Oryzias latipes: one gene and its partner. The protein of the gene in region 2 interacts with the protein of the main gene of each other region in a biochemical or structural test. Links are inferred from orthologs where the notes say so. Each region holds a gene or a part of one and is shown on either strand. Other genes may lie near its edges.

The links.
Region 1: the proteins of E3 ubiquitin-protein ligase Itchy (region 2) and mlana form a complex in vitro, tested with the Homo sapiens proteins (2 studies listed by BioGRID and IntAct, with this or other methods). The link is inferred for Oryzias latipes from reciprocal best matches to the Homo sapiens genes ITCH and MLANA.

Annotation. Positions count from the first base shown.
Region 1 is NC_019870.2:12,936,224-12,939,979, reverse strand, and holds mlana (melanoma antigen recognized by T-cells 1), read left to right. Parts: upstream 1-1,415; 5' UTR 1,416-1,575; intron 1,576-2,273; 5' UTR 2,274-2,277; coding exon 2,278-2,366; intron 2,367-2,483; coding exon 2,484-2,580; intron 2,581-2,717; coding exon 2,718-2,825; intron 2,826-3,228; coding exon 3,229-3,297; 3' UTR 3,298-3,736; downstream 3,737-3,756. UniProt on the Homo sapiens protein: Involved in melanosome biogenesis by ensuring the stability of GPR143. Plays a vital role in the expression, stability, trafficking, and processing of melanocyte protein PMEL, which is critical to the formation of stage II melanosomes.
Region 2 is NC_019865.2:2,031,187-2,034,942, forward strand, and holds the start of E3 ubiquitin-protein ligase Itchy, read right to left. Parts: upstream 2,489-3,756; 5' UTR 2,343-2,488; intron 96-2,342; 5' UTR 74-95; coding exon 4-73; intron 1-3. UniProt on the Homo sapiens protein: Acts as an Acts as an E3 ubiquitin-protein ligase which accepts ubiquitin from an E2 ubiquitin-conjugating enzyme in the form of a thioester and then directly transfers the ubiquitin to targeted substrates.

The DNA of each region.
Region 1 (3,756 bases), on a different chromosome or scaffold from region 2:
AAGTAAAGCTTAAGTCTGATTTTTCTCAATCAACACAAGTTTTTTTTGCATTTATGGTTTCTTTATACTATTTTATAGCATTGGAAAAGGTCCTCCAAATGTCTGATTTCTGGTTTTATTTTATTTTTTTGATGAAATCCAAACAAAATTAAAGTTTAAGCAACCAGCAGCACCAAAAATATGAGGAAAATTATTTTTTTAACATGTTCTTTTAGTGTGCTAATACTAGTTTTTATAAAATAAAATAAAAAAGCTTTAAATAAAACAAAAACTGTTTGTTGGGATGCCTGAATGTTTGTGCAAACTCCTGTGTCAGACTGATCTCCTATTCATCTCCCATGTGTCCACTTGCAGTACCATTTTTTTCTGTCTGTCTTTAAGACGATTCTCTACAAAGCAAGATTCTTTGAGGGGAAAAACTAGGAACTCGCAAAATGTCCAATGAAGGTGTGGCAAAAAATTTTAACAGCACAAAACATGAAATATCAAATACTGTACACAGTTTGTTATTTTTGAATACAGACGTTTTTGTGCAAAACTGAAACAGTTTGTGAACAACACTAACCTTTTAATTTTCCGCTTTCTGACTGCTGGAAAATATGACTTAATATATAATAAATAAATAAACAAACTAATAGAAATGGGATTTATTTATGATTTTATTTTTCTCACATCATAAATACAAGTGAAGGAAATTTCGAGGAAAATAAAACTACTTTCTGTTTAAAACGAGTTCATCTCATCAATACTAATAGACAATAATCTATAATAGATTATAATCTATTTTTGTTATATAAAAATGAAAATAGCAAATAGACGTAAGATCTACTTGTCATTAAACTTGTTTTTCCATCCTTTTGCAATTGTGATTTTCCAAAATTGATGGACAATTGCTTTTAAGAACTTTGGCATGTTGATTCTCCATAATCCAAAATTATAGTTTGTTATTTGTCTTTTTGTTGTTTTTTGTTTTGTAATGATAACAAATGGTAAAAACTTTATATTAAAAAAACTCTATTCAAGTCACTTGAAATACTACTAAGGCTGATTTGACACATTAATTTATTTTAATAATTGACTAAATATATATTTTTAAATACACATGAGTTAAAATGGTTTTGTTAGCCACACGTTTTAGTCTTTTTAAATGTATTAATGCTGCCATCTTTTAGAAGCTGCATTGCCATAGTTTCCCTCTCATACACAAAGTGTGAATATTTCAATTTTTCCCTATTATATAAACTAACTTTAGGAATACAACAAGCAGCAGTGCTCCTTCTCAGACATTCATCTCTCACATGAAAGGTCAGCAGCTCCTGCCTGGAGTTTCACGAGTGGACAAAAATGTTGCGTTCACGGCCGCGGGGTTTCACGGTGATTACTCCGCTTCAGTGGGTTTAACCATGAGTCTCTAACCCGTGACGGTCATGAGGGGCTTTTGTGACCCTCTCTGGTCTTTTAACGAACCGAGGCAAAATATTTCATTTGTGAAAAAACCCACACAGCTCCCTGGATTCTGTCTTTGTGAGGAGGCGTTCGAGAGGAGGACGACGACTTCGCAAACTATCCTACTTGGTATGAACTTTTGGAATATTTTATTTAAAATGTAAGGATACACGACGATGACTCACTTATCTGTATTAATAAAGTTTTATTCAAAATTCCCTTAAACAGTTTTTTATTGCAAAGAAAATGCAAAAAAGGTTGACAATTTATAAGCCCAGTAGTTGTATTTTCTTTAGATTCTGTTTTTTTTTTCACCAGCCAAAAAGTTATGCCAACTTTTTTATTAAAAATATTGACGCAAAAGAGTACTATCCACTCAGTTATCATTTATTTATTTGCAGAATGGAGATCATGATGTGTCTACCATTGACAAAAAGTAGTACACCTGAAGTTTATTTTAAAAAGTATACTTGAGTATAACAAGAGTTCTTTAGAGCATGTACAGTCTGGAAAGTATACTGAGTACTACTTCAGACTTCAAGTAAAAGACTACTAAATGTTAGTAGCAGTCTTTTTAAGTTTACTATAGTGGAAATATAGACCAAGTATACTTAAATGGACTACTTTCTGCTAAGGGTATGTTGTTTTGATCAGTTTTCTGTTGCTTTTTTTTTTTTTTAGCTTGATGGTAGTAGTGTATTTAAGTGTACTACAGTACAAGCAATGACAAAGCATACTTGTATTGTAGTACACTCAGACTCCTTAAAGCGGCTACTTTTTGCCAAGGGTATGTCATTTTTTTTTATCAGCTTTCTGTTGTCTTTTAGCTTGATGTTGTGCAATCACACAGACGGGATGCCTCGTGGAGACTTCAACATTTATTTCACCAGTGGTCGACGAGGAAACGTCAGAGCTGAGGAGTAAGACTTTTAGTTTGAAAATCGGGGAGCTGGAAACAAAGGAGGGCTTTTGTGTCATCTTCAGGTTCAGGCTCTGATGAAGAATGTTTGAGGTGAACTTGCTGCTTTGCTTCTCAGGGCTGTGGGGATTGCTCTGCTCGTGGTCCTCCTTGCAGGCCTCCTCATCCTCGGCTGCTGGTACTTCAAGAAGAGAAGTGGCTATAAAATCATCAGAGTGAGATGATCTCACCTGTTTTGATGAAAAGAAACTTTCACATATTTATGATCACGTCATATGTAGCTTCAATAGTACTGTCCTTTTAGGATAAAATACTAAACAGACTGTATGTTCTCATGATTTTCCTCCTAAAGACCCCCAGATCAGGTTCTCCAGGTTACACAGGAGGTCACTACTCAGAGGGGGGGCCCTCAGCTGATAACAAGATGGCTCTCACAGACTTCGGCAGCTTTCGACCAGTGGTGAGTGATAAAGAGAAATGTTTCGACCAAACGTGTGCCTTAATGAGTTGCTTTATGAAATACTGATTTTTCCTTCTTTGAATGAACATGAAAATCGTTTTTAAGATGAAAGCCTCAGAGTTTAGATTACTGTGTAAAACATGTGAGGTTGATGCAACTCTACGAAGGGCTGAGGGGATTATTATGTCACCAGACGAAAAGGATTAAAAAATCCCTTTCCAGAGGAAAGAAAGGAGACCAAGGGCAAAAAAAAATCAACTTTTTGAATGCTATAATGAATTTCATATGTGTAAAGAGGAATTTTAATATTGCAAACAATGAAGCTTACAACTTTACACATCTAAAGAGACAAAATGCCACTCAAATTGCTGTCTGATTTTAATATATTTACCCCCCTCCCCAGGTTCCTAATGCTCCTCCCGCCTATGAAAAGATTTCTTCAGCACCACTGCCTCCACCCTACTCCCCCTGAACAAGGGCTACGGACTGCTGCCACCACAGAAAGGGGAAAAAACAACAACTTTGAACTTGATTTGGGATTCAGTCAACTCATTTTTTAAGAGGATTCCTGATGCTTCCTAGCTACACGCAATAACACACCCTCTTAAATCTCTTCTTCACACCTTTTATTCTCTTTTGTTCTTTAACAAACAATAAAATGCTGTGTCACAAATAAGTGTATGAAGAGTTGAATCTGCACAACCACGCTTGTTTGGGACAGTTACAGTCTTTATTTTCATGCAGAGATGTCCAAGGTTGCTCAATGAAAATGTACCTCTTATTTTTCTTTTTTAAAAGCTATATGGTAAAAAATAAATAAATGTGACTCCAAAACTTTATATGGACCTAAATGTAGTAAAAATGTATCTATTGATCTACATTTCTAAAAAAAAAAAAAAAAAAACCTTAAATGTAGTATTTAAACAAGTAT
Region 2 (3,756 bases):
TACCATTAATTTGCAGCTGTGACTTGAGAGGGAAACCATTGGAAGTGCCTGACTTGGCGAGCCCACTGGCCATGACATAAGGATGAGAAGAGGCCCTGCAGCACCAAAAGAAATACTATTAGAACGCTTCCTGCAAGGACGATGAACATGTCTTTACATACAAAAGTCTTAGACTGGCAAACTAATATACTCCTGATTCTTTCTAAAAAGCATAATCCTGTCATTTAGCAAAGAATTATTTCTTCTCATGGCTTCCACTGGAATCTTTTTAGAATATATCCTGGAAGGATAAATGTGAGTGCAGGCTTGAGTTTACACTGCTCACACTCAGTATTTGCACCACAGTTGTAAACTTTGAGTCAAGTCCTTTAAAAAAAACAAAAAAAAACTTTTAACCAACAGTTTCTAAATTTGCTACGACATATGAAATATGAACACACGCTGACATTTGCATTCAAAACAGAAACTAAGCCAGAGTAACGGGAAGTTCAGATCCATAATATCAGGAATAAAATCCACAGGACTGAATGAACCTTTGAGGAGATAACAAAAAAAGAAGCTAAATGTGACTTTCTTGAACCAAAAATCAGCATCTTTAACTATAAAATAGAGGCAGGAAAATGTCCAAAGTATAATTAACTTTCAATTTGGTGATCAAATATCAAATTAAGAATTTGATTTGCATTATTTTATTTATTTTGTTTTTTTTGAGGACATCTGTCTAGTATGGAAAATATCCAGAGGATTTCAGATTGTGATGAACATTAAAAATGTGCTTATTGGACCCAGATGGTGTTTTTTATTACACTTTAAGAGCCGCTGTAAAGCAATATTTATGCTTGAATCTCACAGACGGGAATGTTCTTTTAGAAAAATGTTTGCCCAACAAACATATGAGCAAGACTAAATCAACAATGACGGCCTTACGCAGGTAAATAAAACACACGATCTGTGTTTCAGCATGGCCAGTTTCCTCCAAACATCTCTGAATAATAGATGGTCCTCAGTCTGTCCGGCCCAGTGACTCAGGGCAACATGGGAGAAAGTAAGGGGCTGATGGGTAAACTTTCACTTTGATCTTTGTCAATAATTTAATGCAACCACCGACTTTGTTGCATAGCAAGAAGACTGACCGTTCTGTCAATGAAGGTGTTTTCCAGATATTAAAATTAAATTCCAACTTGATTTGCTTTTCCATTTTTAACTATCTTTAATCCCTCACAGTCTGATAATTAACATTTGTCTCGCTGTGGATTCCTTACGTGTTACATCTATTTTTATTTTAAAACAAAATCTGCTTTTTATGTCGAAAAAAAAAGAAATCCCTTAGAAATACTAAACTTGTTAACCGTTCACGTCACAGACATACTACCGCCCCATGACTAACACTGTATCAGCAAAACAGGTATAATTACACACTATAGGAATCAGGGCGTTAATCTATGTGCTTACTCAAAATATAGTCCTTTTTAAAGACAACTATCAGACGACTCAATTCATTATAAAGAGAAATGGGGGGGGGGGGGGGGGGGGTCTGGGCCTGTCAACAAGGGGTATAAATATGAAGCACTAACAGCTCAGACACTTTGGTCACGCAATGAGTTAATAAGTGTCCAGCTAAACCTGCAATAAAGACACAGAGGAACACGCCTCGCCGGGTTGCTGATAACTGCTGCTCGCGATCAGGCCTTCTCCAGAGGCTCCACTGATCCTAAGAGGACCAATCTATCCTGCCAGAGGAGATTCACGACACTCCTGAGCAGAAGACATGTCCCATAATGTCAATAAGGACGCCTGACAGGCGCAGTCAGATCGGGCCTCGATCCAACAGCATTTTTTCTTTTACTGCTGATTCACCTTCCTAGGTGGTTATTCCGAGTGTCTAAAGGTAAAATGGTCTATCGATCCTCAGCGTAGGATACTAATAGGTTTTTAAATGTTGTTGCTACGCGGAAAAAACAAAACAAAAACTAATTTCTTTCACTAACATGTCCCACCCAGTGTGGCTAAACAAACCTTACACACATAATTTGCTCCAGCTGAAAGTGTACTGTTTAAGCTAACGCTAACATAGCCGAATTCCTTCACCAAAACGAGAAGGAAACAAACAAAGTGTATAGATGCTGAACATGGAGCGGCTACATTTGCATTGAAGCTGCAGTTGTTATGAACGTGTTGAATGTCAGCTGGACACAAACAACCTGATGCCATCCCACAGAGACGGCTACTAGCTGCTAACCTGTTAGCCTGACGCGGGCTAGCAGGCTGGAGACCCCAAAGTCAGGCAGTCACAGACGGAGAGAAAAGTCCTCTGATTTATCAGGTGAAATTTATCGTCTCACCTTAATCCAGAAGATGGTGTAACGCGCGGCGATCAGGTGGTAAATCCTCGCGGCTTTCGTCGTTGTCGTTTCAGTCAGCCTTCACTTTTAGGAAGTAGAAACTTCCACCATCTTCGTAAGCTCCTGTCACGTGACCGAAACAAGGCGGGGTGCATAGGGTGCGCTCTTCCCCCCTCTGCGCGGTGATTGGACCAGAGGAGTGACGTAGATGAAACGCGTAATCGTGCCTAAACCCATCTCCCTTCCAATCAATTCATAGGAATCTGTTTCTGTAATGTTTCTTTTGTAATACATGTACCATCCCCTGGCATTCACGTTGTTATGACTATTGATCTTGTCACACATATTTGTTGTATTTGTTTTGAACAATAAAGTTTAAAAAAAACAAAACATCTCCCTTATTTTAAATGATATAAATTGGAAAGAATTGCGTGGATCCTATTTTGTATAAATAACAAAATTAAAGAAATACATGAAAAACATTCTACATAACATTTACACCACAAATTTTCAAATATAGAAAATAATTGTCGTTTTTGTATTGATTTCCCCGAATCAGTTCTTCACCTTTTCTGCTTTTGTAAATTTTCCCGTGAATTTTGGAAACGCTTTGTAAACATCAAATTTAATTGTAACATTATTATAAACTTCAAACAAATGCTCACATATTTCAATTCTGATGATAAAAAAGTAGAAAATAGTATGTATTTGTTACTTCTCCAATCTAAATCTTACATACATAAGTGCAGAATAAAAAAAAGAAAACTCCTAATTTATACTATTTAAGATAGAGATGCTTCAGTTTTATGAATACATTAAAAAAATTAACACATCCAAAGAAAGTTACACTGGAACAATTTGTGTTTTCTTTTGTTTGATATGTAATCCCTGCCTCTAAGAAAACTTTGTATTGTAAACATTATTTTTTTTAATTCTCTTTTATATATTTTATGATACTTTATTTCTTATCAGCAAATTCTATTTTTGATACATTTCTGCTACAATTACTACTTGATGTGGATGAGTAAGTTTGGAATGATGGCATTTATTGTTGCTGCTGATGATCTGTTTGATTCCTTGATGTTGTGTTTTGTAATTTAATGTTATGTTCAATAAAGCTTAAAAAAACCCATCTCCCTTATTTACATTCAAGCATTATTGAAATATTACAAATACGAAAATTCAAATGTTTACATAGATTACTTAGACATATTAAAAAAATTCTTGTTCTTCATTTATATTAGTTTACATACATTTCCTTACATACATGAATCTCTGGTATGTTTAAATCTAAGCATTTATGTATGACCACATTTATGTGTGTATTTATACTTTTCCACATGAACATATGTATTGTTTGTTCATTTTTTATAATAATATGTTTTTCAAAAGGTACTCTTGGCAAAAAGTAGTG